3 linked regions of the Notamacropus eugenii genome follow. The protein of the gene in region 2 purifies or fractionates together with the protein of the main gene of each other region. This does not show direct contact. Links are inferred from orthologs where the notes say so. Each region holds a gene or a part of one and is shown on either strand. Other genes may lie near its edges.

The links.
Region 1: the proteins of ADRA1D (region 2) and DTNA purify together in Homo sapiens (tandem affinity purification; 4 studies listed by BioGRID and IntAct, with this or other methods). This does not show direct contact. The link is inferred for Notamacropus eugenii from reciprocal best matches to the Homo sapiens genes ADRA1D and DTNA.
Region 3: the proteins of ADRA1D (region 2) and utrophin-like purify together in Homo sapiens (tandem affinity purification; 4 studies listed by BioGRID and IntAct, with this or other methods). This does not show direct contact. The link is inferred for Notamacropus eugenii from reciprocal best matches to the Homo sapiens genes ADRA1D and UTRN.

What each region holds. Positions count from the first base shown.
Region 1 is NC_092875.1:262,176,800-262,184,091, forward strand, and holds the start of DTNA (dystrobrevin alpha), read left to right. Parts: upstream 1-4,289; 5' UTR 4,290-4,748; coding exon 4,749-4,765; intron 4,766-7,292. UniProt on the Homo sapiens protein: May be involved in the formation and stability of synapses as well as being involved in the clustering of nicotinic acetylcholine receptors.
Region 2 is NC_092872.1:735,296,480-735,303,691, reverse strand, and holds the start of ADRA1D (alpha-1D adrenergic receptor), read right to left. Parts: upstream 3,034-7,212; 5' UTR 2,528-3,033; coding exon 1,408-2,527; intron 1-1,407. UniProt on the Homo sapiens protein: This alpha-adrenergic receptor mediates its effect through the influx of extracellular calcium.
Region 3 is NC_092873.1:232,659,850-232,667,226, reverse strand, and holds the start of utrophin-like, read right to left. Parts: upstream 3,045-7,377; 5' UTR 1-3,044.

The sequences.
Region 1 (7,292 bases), on a different chromosome or scaffold from region 2:
GCTGCCACAGGTGATATTTTCTTGAATTGTGTTTGAAGGTTAGGCTTCCATTAAGAAAAAAGATCACATTTTTCTGCTTAATATGAAATAATCCATAGACGTTTATTAAGTGCCTAAATATTTCTAGAGCATCTACTATGTACCAGAAACTGTGATAAGTCTGGAGGACACAAAAAGAATCAAAAGACAGTGCTTGCCCTCCAGAAGCTCCCAATCTAGTGGCGGAGACAACAAGCCAATACATACAAACAAGCTATATACAGATTAAATAGGAAATCATTAAGAGAAGGGCACTAGAATTAAGAGAGATTGGGAAAGACTTCCTATAGAAGATCAGATTTTAGTTGGGACTTAGAAGAAGCCAGAGAATGTAGTAGATGGAGATAATGAGAAAGAATATTTCAGTGTCACTGGATAGAAGCATACATGGGGAGTAAAGTCTAAGAATACTGGAAAGATAGGAGGGGGCTAAATTATTGTATTGATAATGCATTTTTGCTTATTGTTAATGTAATTTTGCTTCTTAATGGGAAGATCTTTCCCACCCATTAATGGGTCTGCTCATTAAGGGAAGCTTGATTAGGGGAGACCCACACCTTTTGTTAATTTTCTAAGGAGGCACTAGTTCTCAAGCAAGGGTTGTGATGCCCTCTGGCTATGGAAAGTGTACGTATATCTGAGGTGAGGTTTTATGTTGGGGCTTTCTCATTGAAAATGTTTTGTTTGGCCAGAAGAGTCTCTGGGCAGTTGCTAAGGAGCCCCCGGCTTTGAAAATCCACATGTTGGGGCTTCCATGTATGTAATGGTCAGACAGTTATCTGTCTGTTGGTCTATGACATATGTCTTGCTTATGTTAGGCAGCTGGAAGCCCTGTCTGTTGATCTGTATTTTCTTTGAAATTCAGGGTACTGACTTTTTCCCCTGAACTAAGTGAATAACACATGTGCTTGATTAAAGTAGATTGTTGACCCCTCAAGTTGCTTTTCTTTTAGAAAATCAGATCAAAAACCCTGTGATAATAGGCCTCTTGTGTATGTCGGGGTCCTTGCTTTTACAATTACAAAGGGCCTTGAACACCAAATAAAAAATTTTGTGTTTGATCTTGGAGGCTATAGGAAGTCACTGTAGTTTATTGAGTAGGGAAATGATAGGGTTGGATCTGCACTTAAGGAAAATTACTTTGATGGTTGAATGGAGGATGGATTGGAGTAGGGAGAGACTTGGGCAGGCCATTGCAATAGTCTAGGCATGAGATGATAAGGACTTGTACCAAAGTGGTGGTATTGTCAGGAGAGACAGGGATGTATATGATAGGTTAGGCAAAGGTGAAATCAACAGTCATTCACAATGCATTGGATATGGGAGGGGAGTGGGATGAGAAATAATGAGAAGTTGAGGATGACATCTAGGTTGTGAGCCTGAAAGACTAAGATGACATTGCCCTCTACAGTAATAAGAAACGTAGGATTAGGGCAGGGTTTGGGGAGAAGTATACCGAGTTCAGCTATGGGTATATTGAGTTTAAGATGCTTACTGGCTGTTTAGTTTGAGATTGCCTGAAAAGCAATTGAAGATGCAAGATTAAAAGTAAGGAGAGAGGTTAGTGTAGGACAGGTAGATTTGAGAATCACCAACATAGAAATGCAAGTTAATTCCATAGGAGCTAATAAAGTGGTTATAGAGGGAGAAAAGGATACAGGACAGAAGCCTTTAGGGTTGAAGGGTAACCTAGAGGAGGATGTAATAAAGGAGACTGAAGAGTGCTCAGAGAGGAGGGAGAAGAACTAGGAGAGAGTGGTGTTCCAAAAACCTAAAAAAAAAAAAAAAAAAAAGAGAATATTGAGAAGGAGATGGTGACCAACAGTTTCAAAGACTAAAGAGAGGTTGATAAGAGTGAAGATTAAGAAAAAAATCATTGGATTTGGCAATTAAGAAATCACTGGTAATTTTGGAGAGAGCAACTTGGGTGGAATGTAAGATCAGAAGCCAGATGTAAGGGGTTAAATGAGAGGAGACAAAGTAGAGGCAGTTGTTAAGATGGCCTTTTTTAAAAATTTTAACCACAAAGGGCAGAAGAGATGTAGGATGATAGACCGTAGGATCCAAGTGAAGGGTTTTTGAGGATAGAGGGAGGGGCATTGGGCCTGTGTGGAGGCAAGAGAGGGAGGAAGAACTGAAAGTAAGTGAAAGGGTAGGGATGGCAGGGGGGGCAATCAGATAGAGGAGTTAGTATTATAGTAAAGAGTAAGGCTACTTCATCATGTGAGACAAGGGTGGAAAAGATAGTGGCCCAACACGTATAAGTAATATGAAATTAGGAAGGGAGGAAAAGAGGGATATTATAGCTGCAATTTTTTGTATGAAATATAACATAACAGAGAGTGAGAGGAATAGAAGCTATGGGAAATTTGAGAAAGGATAAAAAATTTGTGAGAGCTGCCATGGAGAGTGGGATAGTGAGTTGATACAGGAGGTATGGTAGGATTGCCTAGCAGCAGTGAAGGCCCAGTTGAGGTTGTGTAATATAACAAATATATAGTGGACCCCATCAGGACAGTTGTATGGTTTTCCTCCCTCTTTGTTCAGCAGCACATGCGTAGGACCAAAGGCAAAGGATGGTGGCAGTGATCTAAGGCTTACGTTTGACAGGAAACAATCTGAATAATAGTAAGAGAACTAAAGATTCAAGAGAGGAAGGCAAGGTAATGTTGAATTGGTTCACCAATGTGTCAAGATGGGGGAAAGAGGAAAAAATGGCTAACATTATTATTGATTATTAATAATGATAACAATGATTATTAATGACAGCTAGCATTTCTATAGCAGCTACTACATGCTGGACACTTTGCTAAACACTTTACAAATATTATCTCATTTCATCCTCATAGCATCCCTTTGAGGCAGGTGCTGTTATTATCCCCATTATGCAGCTGAGGAAACTAAGGCAGAGATTGTGACTTGCCCAGGTTAACATAGCTAGCAAGTATCTGAGGCTGAATTTTAACTCTATTTTTCTTGACTTCAGGTCCCATCCTCTATCCACAGTACCCCTTAGCTGCCTACTCTTAACAAGTAGTTGTTCTGTCTATACTCAAAGAGCTAGGTTATTTGGAAAGTCGTCATATCCGTATACAGCCCGTTCTACATCAGTATAGTTCTAATTGTTATGAAGGTTTTCCAATGGATCTCTGATCTCATCCCTGCAGTGGCTACTCCCCCAACAGTACAAATTGCAATCCACCCATGCATGTCTATTCTGTGTAATTCTTTTCCACGTTGTCCCATAAGGCTCCACCTGATGTGTTGGCAGCTTCCCTTTAGTTCACTTGACATTAAATGTGTAACAAGGGAGTAATGAACTGTCTACGGTTGCTTTTGTCATATATTTTTTCCTTTTGTTGAATGAAAATCCATCTAGCTAGGCAGATATAAATACACACTTGCACAAGCAATATGAAGAGTGTAAGTCAATAAATTATCCTGACATTGCAATAAAGAAACACACTGGGGAAAAACTGTAGGAGTATAGATATGAACCTTTCAGGAAAAGTCCCTTTGATGTGAGTATGATGCCTGCTAAAGTCATCTCATTTTCTCACCTCCCAACCTTACTCCTATTTCCCTTCCTCCAGATCTTCTTCCTTAGGCAGAATAACTCTTTCCCAATCACAGTCCCTGACAGAGTTGGCTCTGGGAGCCGTGAGAAGCTGCACAGGTTTCTTTTGTCCTTCTTATACAAGCTTCATTGGGAAATGCTATGGATAATCTGTGCCTGGGGACTTAATTCAAAGAGTGATTTAAATCCTTGTATCCACAATTCATTTAAGCAAGTTTGTCTCTGACTATATTGTTAACCTTGAACTGTGTGGTTTTCTCCCTTTGATAGGTTCTAAAAGCTCATTTCCTAAATTTCATTTCAATTCTCAAGAAAAATTTTGCCTTTTTTTTTTTTAACAAAATTTTATTTGGGGATTTAAAAAAACCTCATTTGTGGAAATAAAAACCCTCTTGTGCTCCAACATAATATTTTATGTCCTATATTTGTTCCCCTCCCCCCAGAGGAAAAAAGATCACCCAAAAAATATCATAGGAAAAAAATCACCTAATACATTTGTGTTATATATACCTGGGAGATTGCTAGTGAAGAAGAAAGTGCAGGAGCTGTTCTCCATTGCTTTCCACTTGCAGGAATGGCAGTCAGAGAACATTCCTTCGTGGGCAGCCAAGTTTGGAAGTTAGTTTGATTTCTGGCTAGGAGAGGAGGGGAGGATGGGGGAAGGGAGGGCAGAAGACAGGAAGTAGCAGAACGATTTCTCAGCCTGGTCTTTCATTCCCAGCCTTTCAGTAATAGTCATCAATGAAAGCATCCTCTTTCATCCATGCAGGGACAGGTAAAAAGACAGCTGAGTAAATCTGTATTAGATATCAGAACGGAAGCACAGCCAGGACTGGGAGAGAAAGGGAGGGCACATGAAAGCTTGTGATTGGTGAGTTCACCAAAGGCATCTGCCAGTGGGACTTCAATGGAATGTGAAACCAAATCATTTACAAGTTAAAGATAGACACAGTATATACCCAGCTCTGGAGGCAAGGATTAGGTTCATCTAGCTCCCTAACATTTCAGGGAGTTCTGTTTTGATCTCTGTTATAATTAACTCTTTGGACAAATTTTGTCCTCTACTCTATTTTCTCCTTTTTGTATCCATACACATTCTGGATACATTGGAATTCAGGTGGTTTAGGAGGTGATGGTGCATACACTAGGGTAAGTAGAAAGCTTTATTTTCAGGTGCAACTCTTAACTGTGAAAGCTAATTTGGAATTCTTTGAAGAAAAGAAAAATGAAATAATTTGGGCTTTGAGTATCTTGAGGGTAATCATTCCTCTATCCTTCTAGAAACATTTGGATTTCATGTTTTAAGCCATTGAAAGAGAGCTCTATAGTTTTGTTGGTTTTTTTTTTTTTTTGGTACTGTTTGCCAGTCCATTTAAAATTTATCTGCTGTACCCTTTGCTCTCCCCCTTCCCCCCCCCACACACTTACCCACTTCTAACACAATAGGTTTGTTTAATTAAATTATCAGTAGTCTTATACTGTAGGATACTGCAAACAAAGAATATCATCTTTTTAGTGTGTTGCTGGAGAAAGTGTGTTATATGGGTTTGACACTTCAGAAAAACTTTGTAATTCCTCTTGCATTATGTTTCCTAATTTGCATAGAAAAAAAGCTGTTTGAAAAGTGCATAGGGTAACTACAGAAGATAATTTCTTAGCTAATCTTAAAAAGTTGGGGGACAAAAATAGTACCTACCATATCGCAAACACTTAATAGGTATTTTTAAACTAAATTAATGATGGAAATACATAGCTTTCATCAAAAAGGACTTAATTTAAAGAAGTTATTTTCTAATAAGTGTAACTAGTAATATCTGGCATATTCCTTTAACTAATCCCTCAGAAAAAAAAATAAAGCTGGCATTTGCTAAATCATTACAAAGGTTTGATTATATTGCAAAGTGTGTGTTTGGGGGGGAGTAGATTTTTTTTTAAATCCACTAATCTGTATTTTAAGGATTTTTGTGCTTCTTTTAGAAGACAGGATAGAGAAGCAAACTACTTGAAGCAAACTACAATTTCATTTCCTTGCACATTCTGACCATGTATAGATTTTGCTTTTTTCTTTTGTAAAATGACCTCTTGGCTGTGTTCTTACTAGCTGCTTTTCCAAACTTGCCCAGCACTCCTTCTGAATAAATACTGTCCGTAATTGTCACAGGGAACACAGCGTGAATTAGAAAGTCTTTCTATGGGGAAAATAAATCTGCTGACATTGTTGTTATAAAGCCCAGAACTGAAGACAGTTGTTGATTATGGAAGTTTAATCTATGCTCTGCCTTACAGACTAGGCTGTACTAGATTAAATGAGATTAAAATAAGCAATGGGTGCCTTAATCTGGTTACTTTGTATTGTAGATAATTCTGAGTGCATCACCCAAGTTGGCAAAGAAAAATAACACCCACCGTTCAGGCCTCTAAAGGAAAATGGATGTTAGACTAATGATCTGGGGGCAAATTTGCCTTTTGCATTTTTCCAGGGTGGTAAAGGAAATGGCAGTAACTTAGTACTCCTCAAATTCTTCCTAGAGATATGGGAGAAGAATTTTTGAGCTAAGTAACCTATCCACCTAGTGGTGGGTCAGACTCTAACCCTTCCCTGTTAAGCCTCTCAAAAAAGGATCAGATATCAGTTATCTACAAGTTAGTGTGATTTCAAGGAAAAATATGAGAATCCCAAGGGTATTGTGCTTTACATCTTATCTCTAATTATGAAGAGAAAGGCTTTGTTGTCTTTTATAGATATCTAGCCAGCATAGTAGGGAAGGTATTTATGGGCAAACACTGGAGGTTGTGTTTGTGAAGGGAGAGGGCTTTTCTGAAATCCCAGGACCTAGGCAGTAAGCAATAACCAATTCTATCTATGCTAGATCCCTAAGTAAATCATTCAGCCATTCAGCATTGAAATACTTACTATGTGGTAGAGACTGTCCTAAAGAATGCAAAGAAAGACAAAAATCTATGTCCTGTCATCAAGGCTAGTCCTGTGGTATCATGGGAATTTTCCCTACCCACTTTGTAAAATTAATTCAACCCTGGTAATAATTTTGTTTCATATTTGGGGAAAAAACCCATGTATTCTGGCATATGTGGCAAATTACTCAACTCAATCCTTCCTCTTTGGTGTGAAAGATTCAAGTAATATACTCTTTATTCTGCTTGTAAATTCCATCAAGTATTATGAATGAATGGATGAAGCACTTTAGTACTTAGGATGTGAAGAACACTGTTCTAAGTACTTGGAATACAAATAGAAAAGCAAGGACAGCCCCTGCATTCTAGGAGCTCACCTTCTAATGGGGAAGGCAACACTTACCTTCCTCAGACACCCACAGAATTGCCTCTTTTGTGTGACTTCAAGAGTTGGGTCTGGAAACTCTGTGGAGGATCAGAGGTAGACAGTGATATGCTGGTAAATATTTAACAACTGGCTTTCTTGAGGAGGAACCAGGAATGAAAGCATAAAAGATTTTTGAAATTTAATCTCTGTTATAAACATTTTTCCATCACTTTCTTAAATCTAAACAATCACCAAATCAATAAATCAAGCTCTGATTTGTAGCTTTTGGTGATTTCTGAGGTATAAATGTTCACACTAAAAATTTAACAGTTGGCTCTCCAATATGAATTGCTTCTATCACACCCCTGGAAATGGGTTGCAGAGTGGAAGCTACCA
Region 2 (7,212 bases):
GACCTCAGACAAGTCATTAAACTTCTCTGGACCTGAGTTTGATCAGATCAAAATGAGAGGATTGGATTAGCTGACCTCTTTCTCCATTCTAAAATGAAGGTCCCATCAACTCTCTACAAGCACATAGCTGTCTCTCCATGCATATATATGTGTCTCTTTATGCAACAGTGCACTTGTCTACCTGCATGAACCCACCACACATATGTGCATTCCTGCACATATATGATCAGTAGGTGTAGAGGTATGCACACTCCTGGGCATCGTCAGATGTCCTCATCCCTTGCTCCCCAGGCCAACCTCCGTGGCTGGCAGCTTTCAAGGGAGCCAGCATGTTCCAGGGGAGGCAAGCTAGCCTGTGTCATTGCAGGGATCTGGAGTTCTGTGGAGTGTTACTCAGGGGACGAGTCACTATTGGAGCTCTGAGATGTTGGAACCTGCAGTGAGGTCACACTGTACTGAACAGAGAGTTCTCCCCATTGAGGCTCCTGGAGTGAATGCATGGAATACGCAGCAACATTGGCTCCTCTGCAGGAAACATTGTGTGTGTGTGTGTGTGTGTGTGTGTGTGTGTGTGTGTGTGTGTGTGTGTAAAAGGGTGCTGCTGGGAGAAGGGGAATTATTCCCTTAAGAAAGAAGCTCACCTGGGCATTCCCGGGCTGATTTCAGAAGGATTTCAGAAGGTGGCTTTAGCAAATCTATGAATGACAAAATATCAGAGGTAGAAGGGGACTGAGAGCTCACCCAGCCCAACCTCCTTGTTTTACAGGGAGAGGAAACTGAGGCAGGTCAGAAGCTGAAAGAGCCATGGCCAAGGTCACAGAGGTAGTCCTGGGATCCAGGTCTCCTGACTCTCCAGTTCATTGCTTTTTCTCTGATGCCATTCCAAGTGACCCTTCCTTGGTAATCCCGAAAAAATCCCTATCTCCATGAACTCTCTGCTTCTCAACACACGCCCACCGAAGTGTCTATACATTCATATGGTACACAGATGGACATGTACAACCAAGATTTCCACCTTCTCACAACCTTAGGCTAAGTAGGTTCAAGAACAGGGAAAAATAATTCAGGAAGCCAAATGAATGAGCTTAATTAGAAAAGGCAGTAAGAGAAAGCTGGATAGGGTGATAGCCTCCAGCCTCCCTTGGCACCAGCCTCCCTTACCACCACAAGTGCCCCAGGTACACACACTGAGAATACACACTATACACAACTTCCCCCCAACCCTACCCTATCCCCACCCTACTTCTCCCAGTTGTACTTATCAGTTTTGTTTTCCTTTTTACCCACACATCAAGCTCATCAACCAAAGACAGTCCAAGTGAAGCCTTGAGGCATCTGGGAAGGCTAAGAGGGCAGCCCGGAGGGCCAGTAAAGGGAATGGGGAAAGGGGCTGAGTGCCCCACTTACCCAGGGGCAGGACGAAGAAGAAGGGGAACCAGCAGAGCACAAAGACCCCCACCACGATGGCCAGGGTCTTGGCGGCCTTCTTCTCCCGGGAAAACTTGAGCAGGCGGACGGACAGCGAGCTTCGGAAGTTGTGGCCCTTGGCCGCGCGGGCGTCCTCGGTGCCGGAGCTCCGGCAGTGGATGCGAAGGACGATGTCCGCAGACTTGCTTCGTTCCCTCTTGACCCCGGCCTCCAGGCTCCTGGTGGTCCTCCGGGCCACCACGTACACGCGGAAGTACATGACTAGGATGACAGCCATGGGCAGGTAGAAGGAGCAGACAGACGAGAAGACAGCGTAGCCCGCCTCCTCCGTGATGCCGCAGAAGCGGTCGTCGGGGGGCACCGGCTCCTTCCAGCCCAGCAGCGGCCCCACCGACACCACGAGGGCCACGGCCCAGAGCAGACCCAGGATGGCGGCCGCCTTGCGCTCAGTCATGATGGCCGGGTACTTGAGCGAGTGTCTCACCCCGACGTAGCGGTCCACAGAGATGGTGCAGAGGCTGAGGATGGAGGCCGTGCAGCAGAGCACGTCCACGGCGGCCCACACGTCGCAGAAGGCCCGGCCGAAGGCCCAGAAGCCCAGCACCTCCATGGTGGCCGAGAAGGGCAGCACCGTGGCGCTCAGGAGCAGGTCTGCCACCGCCAGGTTGACGATGAAGTAGTTGGTGACCGTCTGCAGGTGGCGGTTGCATGCTACCGATAGGATGACCAGCAGGTTGCCAGCGATGGCCGCGAGGATGAAGGCGGCCAAGAAGACCCCGACGCCCAGCGCCTGGGCGCTCACCACCACGCCCCCCACGGCCGCTGTGTCGTTCACCTCGCCCCCGCCGCCAGGGTTGCCCGCCGGGCACGCGACCCCCGGGCCGCCCGGGAAGGTGCGGTTGCTCTCGCCGCCTCCCGCACCGACGACGGCAGCGCTCCCAGCTGCGGCGGGGACTCCGGCGACTACCACTCCAGAGCTGTCCGAGCCCCCGCCACTGCCGCTGCCCCCGCCGCCCCCTCCGCCGGCTCCACTGCCCCCCGGCCCGTTGTCGGAGCCGTGCCCGTCGAAGCCGACTTGGAGCAGGTCCGGGAATGGCATCCTAGAGGGCGGCCGTCGGGGATTGGACCCGAGGGAACGCGGCGCTGGCGGGGTGCGGGGAGCCGGGCATGGCCCTCCCGCTGCAGCGGCTGCCCTCCTCCTCCGCCGCCTTCTCCTCCTCCTGCTTCCCGGGGTGCCCCGCCTCCCACTCCCCCCTCAGCCCCGACGGGCTGCTCCTGACAAGTTCCCACGGGCAGTGCGGGGCCTCGGAGCAGGCTGGGAGGGGCAGCCCAGGGACAGGAGGCGGCTGGGGGGCTCCCCTAAGCGCAGTTCCAAGGTGAAAGCAACAAGACCCAAGGGGGAGCGAATGGATCTCCAAGCACGGCTGAGCCAAGCCGGCCAGAGCGAGCAAGAGGCTGGGATGCAGCCGCGGTCCGGGGCTGTCTGGTGCGGTTCGGTGCGGCTGGGGACGCGGAGCGGCTGGGACTGCGGTCCAGGCGGCTGCCACCGCTCGGCTCCCCACTGCTCTCAGCTCAGGCTCTGCTGGCACTTTGGCGGAGGAGAGAAAGCGCCAAGGGGGGCTGGGGGACTGGAGGAGGGGCCGGCAGGAGGAGGGCTCTGGGAGGGCGGGAGCTAGAAACTCCTTTTGGAAAGAAGGGACCCGGAGGTTGGGGAAGAGAGAGAGGGAGAAGGAGAGGGAGAGGGAGGAGGGGCGGGTCTGACTTTCCAGTGGGTTCAGGAGTGGGCAGCCGGCAGCCGCAGCTTGGGCTCAGTCTTCTGCCGCAGCCTCATTCTCCAGCTCGTCTCCTGTCCCCTTCCTTCTCTCTTCCTTTGCTCTCCCGCTTCCTCTTCCCCTTCCCCTCCCTCTGCTTCCTTCCTTTCCTCTCTCCCCGGCTCTCCTCTCTCTCCTTCTCCTCCCTGTTCTGTCTCGCCCTTCCCTTCTCTTTTCTCTCCTCCCTCCCTCTCCTGGATTTTTCCTTAACGTCTCTCTCCCTCCTCTCGGTCCTCCTTCCCCTTCCCCTCCCTCTTCCCCATCTTCTCCAGGACTCTGGTTGTCTGTCCTCGTCTCTGCATCTCTCCCCTCTTTAATTCTCTCCTTTTTCTCTCTTTTCTTCCCCCATTCCTCCCCCTTTCTTCCTTTTCTCTTCCCCCTTCAGCGTCTTCCTCTTCCTTTCCTCCTTCTTGTCTTTTTTTCTCTATTCCCCTCTCACCCCTACTTCTCCCCTTCCTTTCTCCTAATTCCATCTTTTACTTTCAGCGTCCCAAACCTCTACGCCTCCCCCTTCCCCCTTTCTTCAGCCATTTTGCCTAATGGGGACAAAAACAACGCTCACCTCACACAATTGTGGGGGTCAAATGAGCTAATTTGTGTAAAGCACTTTGCAAATCTCGAAGCGTTGTGATTCTTTTTGAAAAGATGCTTCTGTCCTCCCCACACCAGCCACGAGAGGGCAGCAGGCAGTTGAGATTCTTCTCGGGTCCAGAGTCCGCAGAAGTGATGTTCCAAACTAAGCCCCTCTTAAATGAATAGTGCTGACTTCCCAGTCCCAGCCCTACAGTGTAGTCAGCCAGCTATCCACCTCCCCTGAGCCACCCTGTAGCATCTCTTGTTTCCCATCCCAGGTACTCCGCAAATTCTTTAAGTATGTGCAGATTCACCCTTTGGATCCAGGCTTCAGAAAATCCTAGGACTTGGGATCCTTGGAGAGGTCATCATTGGTTCTAATCTTCTGTTTTCAAGCTTTAGGGCTTATTGTCTGCCCAGAAGTGTTCTACAAACCCTCTGGAAGCACAGAACAATCCCTGCCCTCTATATAGCACTGTGGATCCAGACCTATGAGTTAATTGACTAAAGAGTGCTCCCAGTGAGGAAATTCCCTCTACCAATACAGATTGTCTTCTGTTGGGCAATTTAGAGTATTAGAGATTTGCTGGAAGAGGATGTGGTAGAAAGGTTGAACAGGCAGGTCAATCATTGTACAAATGTTTGGCTGTGATTCTTCTCTTTTGGCTCTCTGGGCAAGATTCAGCCCTTCTCCCTGGATTACCCCATTCCAACTGTCACCAAATGACAGAGGCTCAGAGTTGGAAGGGACCTCAAAGGCCATCTAGTCCCAAATATGTCTGACTGAGCATCTCTTCTCCCACAGCCCTGATCACATGGTCATCCAGCCATTGCCTGGAGATCTCTTGGCAGCCCATCCCACTTTGGGATGGCTCTAATCATTGGGAAATTTTCTCTTACTTTGAGCTTTTGGTTTTGTTTCAAAGAGACATATGGAATAAGTCTAGTCTTGTTTTCACAGACACTTTCAAATACTCCAGGACAATACTTTCTTTGTAGTTGCTCATTTGACAAGATCCTGAGGTCCTTGGCAATCCTAGTGGTCCTTTTTTGGACAGTCCAGTTTGTCAATGACCTTTCTAAAATATGACATAATGAATTAACACAAGAGTCTAACTATGCTTTGACCAGAGCACCATACAGTGGAACTTTGATCCCCCTAGTTTGGAACACTTGGCCTCTCTAAAGGAAGCCTAAAATCTCATTTATCCTTTGGCTACCATATTGAATTTCAGAGACATTGTGAGCCTTCAAGATTAGAACAACTGGGTCTTTTTCAGATAAACTGCTATCTAACCATACTTACCTCACCCCGTACCTATGAAACCAACTTTTTGAACCCAAGTGTAAGATTTACATTGATTTCTACTAGATTTGACCTTATTAGAACTGGACCAGATGTTCTAGCATCCATCATAATTGTTTGAGCTGATGCTGTCATCCAACAATTACCTATTACTTGCCACCAAGGAAATTTATCATGACATGCAAATTTAATAGGCTTGCTATCTGTGCCTTTATCTGAGTCATTGGTAAAAATATTCAGCAGCATAGGAGCAAGTATCAAACTCTGGGAATTCTGTGCAGGCTGACTTGGAATCCTTAATGATCCCTCTTTGGTTCTGGTCATTTACTCAGCTAAACCATATAATGACCCTATAATCTAGCCCAAATTTTTCCTTCTCTTGAATAAAGATAGAAAAGCAGAAAACATACAAGGACAAATATTAGCCCATGAGCAATGGATGAGATACTCCTCCTGTTCTGCTGAGTCCTATCTTTCCTCAGGCTCCCTGTGCTTCAGCTTCATTTTGGGAGGGAAATGATCTTGGGGTGGCAAGATAGGTACCCTCATTTGAACTGCACCATTTGAGTGTTGGAATGGTAAAAGGTCAAGTTTGGACCTTCTGCAAATTATACGGTGGCTTAGATTTAGCTCCAGAGCTATGTCCATCTTCTCCTCCCTCTAAGAGGCTGGAGCAGCTTAGCAATTCCCTCTTGCCTTTTTTTTACCCCATGGAATTATTTAAAATTTTTTTGAGCTAGAATTCTGGGCTGAGAGTCAGGACAGTTCAGGGGAATGTCACTCAAGTACATCTTGGCGTGACTTGCAGAGCAGGGCCCAGAATAAGGACAGAATCCCCTGGTGGAGATGGCACCAGAAAAGAAGTCAGTATGTCTTGGCCCAGCTCTAGGCAGTAAGTAGTAAGCTCTATGGCTCTGGATAAATCCTTTCTCCTCCCTGGGTCCCCCCTCTTAAATGAAGGGGCCAGACTGGATGCTCACAGTGGTTAGCTCAAGCATGGCCATCTAATGGATCTGGCAGATTATGGAGAGTTTGGAAGACTTGGGGCTCATCCTAGTCCTTTAAGGATTATTTCAGGAATGGTGGTCATGGGCTGTCCCAAACTGTCTCTCAGAGCTGGAAGGAGTAGGGACAGATGAAATAGGGACAGACATAACCTGGAAGATATGTCTAGGGAATATGGAAAAGGCTTCAGGGAGCCTTCAGTGCCTAAGAAATGGACACCATTTGACCTTTTCTATCATTATGAATAAGTGCCCTTCCATCACCTGCTGGGAAAGGGCAGCCATGGTCAGTCTTTTTCAAATGGAAGAAAATCAAACAGTCACTGACTTAGTTGGGAGCAATTTCAGAGAATATCTGATCCAACTCCTACCCACCTCAATGAGATTCCCGTCTACAGCCAGCAAGTGTTTCCACTTTAGTTTGGCATCCCCAGAACCTACCTCAGGGTTTGGCACATACGCGGTGCTCATATATCCTTGGTGCTCCAGCCTTCTCTTGAAGACCTCCAGTAAGGAGGAGCCCACTACAAGGAGGAAGCTTTGTGACACAGTAGATAGATAGAGCAGTGGACCTGGAGTCAATAAGATGCAAATTTAAATCCAGCCTCATATTCTTGACTGGTTGCATGATCACTTAACCTCCCACTGCCTCATTTTCCTTAACTTCCTAAAACAGGGATAATAACAGCACCTACCTCCCAGGACTGTTGTGAAGATCAACTGAGGTAATATTTGTTACACATTTAGCACAGTGTTGGGGGCACATAGTAGGTACTATATAAAGGTTAGCTGCCTGTGTCCCTTGGAGTAGCTCCATTGGCTAGATCTTTTGTCTTGATGGGGAGTTGAGATAAATTTGTCCTTCTGCATCTTTCCCCCTCCCCACCATGGCTCCTAGCTCTGAGTTTTGAGGTGAGGGGCTAAACAGAACCGCTAGAATTCTTCTTACTGGTAGCTGCCCTTCAAGGGGATGAAGGTAGCCCTCATTCTTCCTCATGAAAGCCACCAAAGCATAGTCATGAGAGAACAGGATTTGCAGTCAGGAAGATGTAGTTTAGAATCCTGCCTCAGACACTCACTAACGGTGTGA
Region 3 (7,377 bases), on a different chromosome or scaffold from region 2:
TGTATTTTGCTAAATGACCCTAAATCCATCACCTTCCTGTCATGGAGAACATGTTTATTTGATCATCAGTCCTCGGAAATCATGAATGGTGATTGTGTTAATCATCTTTCTTACAGATTTCTTACATAGGAGTTTACAATTTAACACAAATAGTATAGACTCAAAAATAATAAGGGAAAAGACAAATGAGCCAATTCATAATTTAAATGAACAAGTATTTAAGCATGTGTGGAAAGTCAAGGGTATCTACTGCGCATGATGAATTAATAGAGAAGGCAACTTGGGAGTTGCACACCAGAGTAAATTACAACCTTTCTTCCAGGTAAATAGAGAAAGTTTCATGAGGAATAACATTAAGAGAAAACAATTACACCACAAAAATCTAAACACATAGGTGATCGCAGAGCCTCTCCTACAGAGAAAGGAGAACTGGCAGTCATCAGCTGGTACTGTTTCCCTCAGAAAGATATTCTCACCCTGAGGCCAGAAGTGCCAAATTTTCAAGAGAAAAGGGCCTCTGGGATCATCTTGTTCAAGCTTTATCTGAAGAGACTCTCAACTATGCCACATCCAACAAACAGTTAACTAAATTTTTACTAAAGACTTGTAGTCAACAGAATATTTGTTTTTGCAGAAAAATTTGGAGACAGTGGTAACTTTTCCCCTATCATATACAGAATTGGTAGGAGCAAGGGGTAGTATTCATTCCACCCAAATGAAAATGAAGGTAATGTCTTAGTTAACACAGCCATGTATCCTTCTCTTCTGGTATAAAGACTTATACAAGCTGCCAATTCCTAGTTTAATTATAGGACTTCATGGACCAAGATAAATTTTTTAGTTCTTTTTCTGTTCTTTTTTAGTTCTGATATCTAGTTTCCCAGAAACAGTAATAGAAAAATGATACTCCAACATCCTCACTCCATTCTCACCCCCCCAAAAAAAAAAATTTCAGGAGTATGCATCATGGCATTCCCCAGGCAGAAAAAGTCAAGAGTATCCAAGGAGTCTATTACCAATCCAGAAATGGCAGCAACGTCTCCAAGTCTATGGTGACTAATGACATTCCTCCACCAAAAGAAGCAGCTGTATATGGGTGCCAGTCATTGGCAAGGAAGCTAGGATCTGATCTCAGTGGAATTCACAAGGGAAAGTCTGCAACAGCAGCTGAGATGCTACTTAAGCCAGATCCCCCTGTCACTACCAATTCACCAGTGCAACTCTTTATGGGGGAGAAATGGAAGAGGTTTAGTCAGTCAATAAGCACGTATTTATGCACTTGCTATGTGCCAGTGCAAGGGGCTCAATAGTATGTATTTGTGGAAACTCAGTCTCTTCTCTACCCCACCCCTACCGCCGCAAAATTTAATTTAAAACTACATAGACGCATATTCAATGCTACAGGTATGAAGAAAAGGGGCAACAAAGAATTCTAATTTGGATGAGCTTAAACTTCAAAGATTTGCCATCATACCCAAGGGAGGCAAATACAGTCTACCTGGTGGGTTTGGTTAAGCACACCAACCCGAGGACCACTCATGCCACCCACATGATCACCAGATGGCTCTCTGCCCACAGAACTAGATGATTTAATTAAATGATTCCAAGTTCAGCTCTCCAATGCACACTTCCTGGGCTCCAGATACCATCTCTTCTATGAAAGCTTCTGACTCCCTGTCCCCATATCTCACATGCTGCTGATACTATCTTCCATTTCTCAAGTATTTCTACACCACTGTATTTAATCCCTCACTACCTTCAATCCCTATCAATCAATCATTTAACAAGTGTCTATATTTGCAAAGCATTATGTTAGGCTCTTTGGATACAAAGACAAAGATGAAGCAACTTAAGTAACATTCTACCAAAAGAAACAGCATGTACATATATGAATACATACAAAGTAAGGATTAGAAAAGCACACAACCTGTGTACAGAGCAAATCCCCACACATATATACACACTCCCAGGTAAAATGTTCATTCAGTTCCTTAAAGGCAGACTCTATTTTTGCTTTTTTATTCCCCAAACCTAGCATAATTGAAATGACATAGGTGTTAATACTACATAGCTAAGGAGAAAAGTTCTGTATAAAATAGGTGTGTGTTTGTGTCACTTTTACATAAACCATAACTGACATTATTCAAATTCCCATGTAAATATGAAGACTGGAGAGGGTCTTTCAAGAGACCACATGGCCTGAAGGAGGTGGGTTAACAATACATTTTTTGAAATATATGCTAGGAGGACACAGAAATATGAGAGGAAACGTAAGGCTTCTGCTCTGGAAACTTGGGTTCAGAGGTCATTAAGAAGATCCAGAAGTGCAAGAAAAAGAAAAAGGCAAAAAAACCAAGTCTGAGTCATCATGAGGCAGGGTAACTGGGAGTAAAGTAAAGAAGTGGTTTCCCAGTCTTAGATTTGCTGCTCATTCCCTCACTAATTGTTATAACCACGGGCAGGTCTGGGTCTTAGCTTCCTCACCCCCAAAATGAAGAAATTAGAATAGATATTCCCTAAATTATCTTCCAGCCCTAAAATTCGGAGTCTATCCAAAGTATTGGGTTTACTTCTTGATGATAAGTGAGTTTGCCTGAAGGACACACATGTCAAGCTTACAGAATGGACTTATGCTTCAAGTTATATGAATAGACTAGAAGTCTAGACCCCCTTCAAAACCTAAAATTCTATGGGATATCCTCAGAGTTCTATTGGTCCTTTGAGGTCACATAAACACAGTGATGTCTTGCAACCAACAATCAGCTATCAAATTACTGAATTTTCAGTGTATTTAAATCTTGGAAATTGGCAAACACTACAAATTAGGGATTGATTTATTGTTTTGCTAATTATTCAGACTTACAAAAGGGATAGAGAAAATGTTAATGATGAAGATTAAACTAATAAGTGAAAAGCATGTGTATATATGTGTTAAATATATGTGTGTGTATATATATGTTATATATAGTATATATATCTCTAGCAATCTGGTTGCTAAACATTTATTAACACACCCATGAATATATACCATTGCAGGCAATGTAGTGACAGCTGAAGAGCATTAAGTCACCTTCGAAAATACATAACTGATCTCCACCCTACAAGATCTACAAGAATAGTGATATTTTTAAAATATATATATATATATGTATATATATATATTAATACTGCCTGATACTGGAAGAATCCTTTATATTACTTAAGGTTCTTTCACATTTATTATCTCATTTGATCCTTAGAATATCCCCATAGGTGAGTAGAAGAGTTATTACAAATTTTATTTGACAGGGCAGCAATCAGAAGCAAGAAGAGGTGTGACTTATTTCTGATCACCTCCTCCTTCAACCCAACCTGGTATCCCTTCCATTGCACCCCACTCACTGTTTTGTGCATTATTCATTAACATACTTTGGAAATTCTCAATACATCAATAGAGTCATGGGCCATAAATTCATAAAAAGGAGTAAGATGAATGACAAACACACTACTAAAGCCTAAAATACAAATGGCTTACACAGCCTCTCCTTCCACTAAGAAGGATGACTTCCAAGAAACATTCATCATCTGATGCTTCTCTGAGTAGAATTTCCTCTCCCTGGGTTCAGAATGACTGAACTTCAAGAAGTGAAAGAGTTAAGAGAGTTGACCTATAGGAGGCTGTACTATCCAAACTATAGCTGAACAAGACTTCCTCCCCAGCCTCCCCTTACAGCACAGTCAACAAGTGATTATCCAACCTTTGCTTGAAGACCTCTAGAGCTGGAAGGTGGTTTGGCGATCAAGTCTGACCTCTCCAGTTTTTACAGATGAGAAACTGAGGCTCAGAAAGTTAAGGCTTGAATGACTTGCTCAAAGTCATTCAGGTACTGAAAATAATAGAGCTAGGATTCCAATTCAGGTCCCACGAATCCAAGGTCAATGCTCATGTCATTGTACCACACTGCCTTCCTATTGCTACTTTGATTGGATCAAGAAATTAAGGTACAAAATCAGTTTTGCAGAATCCTAAGTCGGAAACAGCATCCCAAATTCTAATGTTAAATTACTTGGACTAAAAGATAGCTCCAAGAAATTAAGAACATTTTTCTAAAAGTAAACTGTATTATGTAACATTTCCTCCCTCCCCCTTCCCCCTCTCTTTCTCTCACAGGAGCACCCAATGTCCAAATGCAAAAGAGGAAATGCATGTTCCTCAACAGCAATGTTTCAGATATCAGGTAGCAACAGCTGTTGAATCCCACCCATCCCTCTTCCCCCCACCCCCCTCCATTCTGGCAGAGACATAGAATCAAACTGCCAATTCAAGGCTTGGCCTCTTAAATGACCTCAGACTCCAGTTTCCCAGCAACAGCACGTTAAGTGCTCTAGGACTGGCTTGTCCCCTCAAACCTCTAAAATCATGACCTTCATTGAAGTTGTCCTTTCTTTTGAGTTATTAATCTGCTCATCCTCTACACCGGAAAGAGTAAAAATATGGGGGAGGAAAAGGAAGTGAATGAGAGTTACTTGGGCTATGGATTTCATGCAGCAAGAACAGCCCACAACAGGTGCAGCATTCAAATGAAATTAAGACTCTCAAAATAAAGTCATTAACATTAAGCATCAGTGCACAAAGAAACAGGGAGCCAGACATCATTAGGCAATGATGCAAGAGCTGGCTGGTATTACTATACTCTTCACCGGCAGAAGTTCCATACAGTTTTCCAAAACATTTAACAAAATGTCACCAGGCTCATACAACTTCTTTTCCATACTCCACCCCCAAAATGGGGGTAAAAAGCTTAAGATAACTGAAATACTGGACACAGTTGATATTTTTTTTGGTAATTTGACATTCCCTAGCCTATTAGATAGATACTGTCTCTACTAATACAGATCATGAATGCTCCACATACTCTCCATCTGTGAAATTCTTGCCCATAATCCCTTCATCAAAGAACTAACCAGAATACTGGAGGCTTTCCTCATCTTCTTTTATCTCATCATGCCCTCCCATGCAGACACCAATATAGCAGTTGGCCAATCACTGTTTTCTTTCATTCTCCCTACGTGGCCAATACCAAGTATCTAGGATTTACAGTACATATTACTGAGGGTGATGGACAAGGGAATTGAAGAAGTGGGGAGAAGAGAGGAGAAGAGAGCTTGTATGAAGGGAATGAGCTTTAGACTTGAGCAATTCAAAATCACTGACCATTTTTCTAAATGCATTGGAGTCTAATTTCCGCACTCCTCAATTCTGAGGGCAGTTCAAGGTTCACCTAGAATATCCATCCAAAATAAAGATGTTTACAGCTCAACCTGTGCCACTGGTCACAATAGGGGCAATATATTGTTTTTTAATCTCCTGTGCTGTCTTTCCCACCCACGGATAGACACTCAGACCAGTCTCTCATTGCTGAAGATGTACAGCACCTGCCTATAATTAATACCTTGTGATCTTTGCATGAGAGCATCTGATAACCTCAGCATCAAAAAGGGATTTTATTAATGTTGCTTAGACTTTGTATGTAGGGAATCCCCTGGGATATTGCTACACATCTACAGTGATAATATAACCCTCTGTTTTATGCCTCATGTCAAGAGATCTTGACTTTAAGTTATCTACATAGTTATATGTGTCAATTATATAATTTTAACAAATGCATTGTTTCCCATCTTGTTCTAATGAGTCAATTTTTTACTAAAAAAATAAAATATATAGCTTATCTGGGCTTGCTAGAGCTATCAAGGGAGCAACTGTAAAAATACAGATTGCTATAAGAATTCATTAATAAATCTTTCATGTTATCACCAAATTATCACCAAAGAGCATTCACAGACCATTCTTATTTTAAAAATAAATTTAGGAAAATGAAAAGGCAGATAGTCTATGGGTTGGTAAATAGTAACAGAATTTTTTCATATTTTTTTTAAATTTATTAAAATAGATGCATTTTTTTTCTAGTCTTTTGGAATAACTACCTCTTCACTATGTAGCACTAGTGGTTCTATTGTTGTCAACACTGAGAACAAATCACTTTATAAACAGTAGCAGATCTGTTCCATTTCATGTCAATTTGTTATTCTCCTTTCAATTCCATCTATATATGGTCATGGAATAATTTGACTTAAATTTGCCATGACTCACTTTCCTCTTTTTGCAGTTTTGTGAAGCAATATTCCTCAAAGTATTCTGTCCTCCTCCTCTTTAATCCTTTTTGTTAATGTTTTAATTTCTTTTTTCTTATAGCAACTTAATTTCGGAATTTATCCTTCCTCTTATATGTAAAACATCCCAGAATATAAAAAAAAAATTTAAAAAGGTTGTCAGAAAAAGCAATTCAGGAAAACCAATCAACACATCAATGCTGTCTAATTGCATATTCAATAGTCCACATATTCAATAGTTCACCATCTCTACAAAAGAAGCTTTCCATCACATTTTTCAAGTAAACGCTGCCATTGGGTGCCATTACCATATCACCTAGCAAGGCCCTTTTAGCCTCCTCACTATGGTAACTGTTTGACATATGCGAAACTTTTCTAAGAATGTATTAGAGATAACGTTCACTTATATTAATTTCCTTTCCCCCTCCATTCCCAAAGGCAGATACTTGTATAAAAACAGAATAGCAAAAAACTAGAAACTATGTGGGCACCTACTATTTGGAAGATGGCAAACAAATAGCTTATGGTTTATATGAACTGGAATATTATTACCACATATATTTACAGTAGATCACTTTCTCATAGCAAAGACTGGAAAGAAGGTATCCATCAACTGGGGAAGACTGAAGAAATTATAATATATGTATACATACATGGCATTATGGCATATAAACATGATAGAATTCTACTGTATTATATGAACTTGTCTGAATTGATTTTAAGCAAAACAAAATCATTTTCTACAATAATAATACAGTAAGGCAGTTTTCTGATGAAGTAATTAAAGCTAAAGCTATTTCTAGCCATATAAAAAATGCTTTGAATCAGTATTAATTAGAGAAATGTAAATTAAAACAACTCAGAAGCACCATGTCACAAATTGTCTATCAGACTGGCTAACATGACAAAGGAGGAAAATGATAAATGCTGGAGATGTGGGAAAATTGGAACTTCATTGCATTGCTGGTGGAGTAGCGAAATGATCCAACTAAAACTAAAAATAAATAAATGTTTGAAAAATAATAGCACTGTAAAAACAAGCAGCTTTAGAAAACTGAAGAACCATGATCAAGGCCATAACCAACAATTACTCCAGATGACTGTTGTAGAACTGTTATCCACTCTTCTGACAGAGAGCTGATAGACTCAAAATGCAAAATGAGACATAGATTTTTAGGTATGACATCTCTGAATATTTGTTTTCATTGACTATGCTTATTTATGACA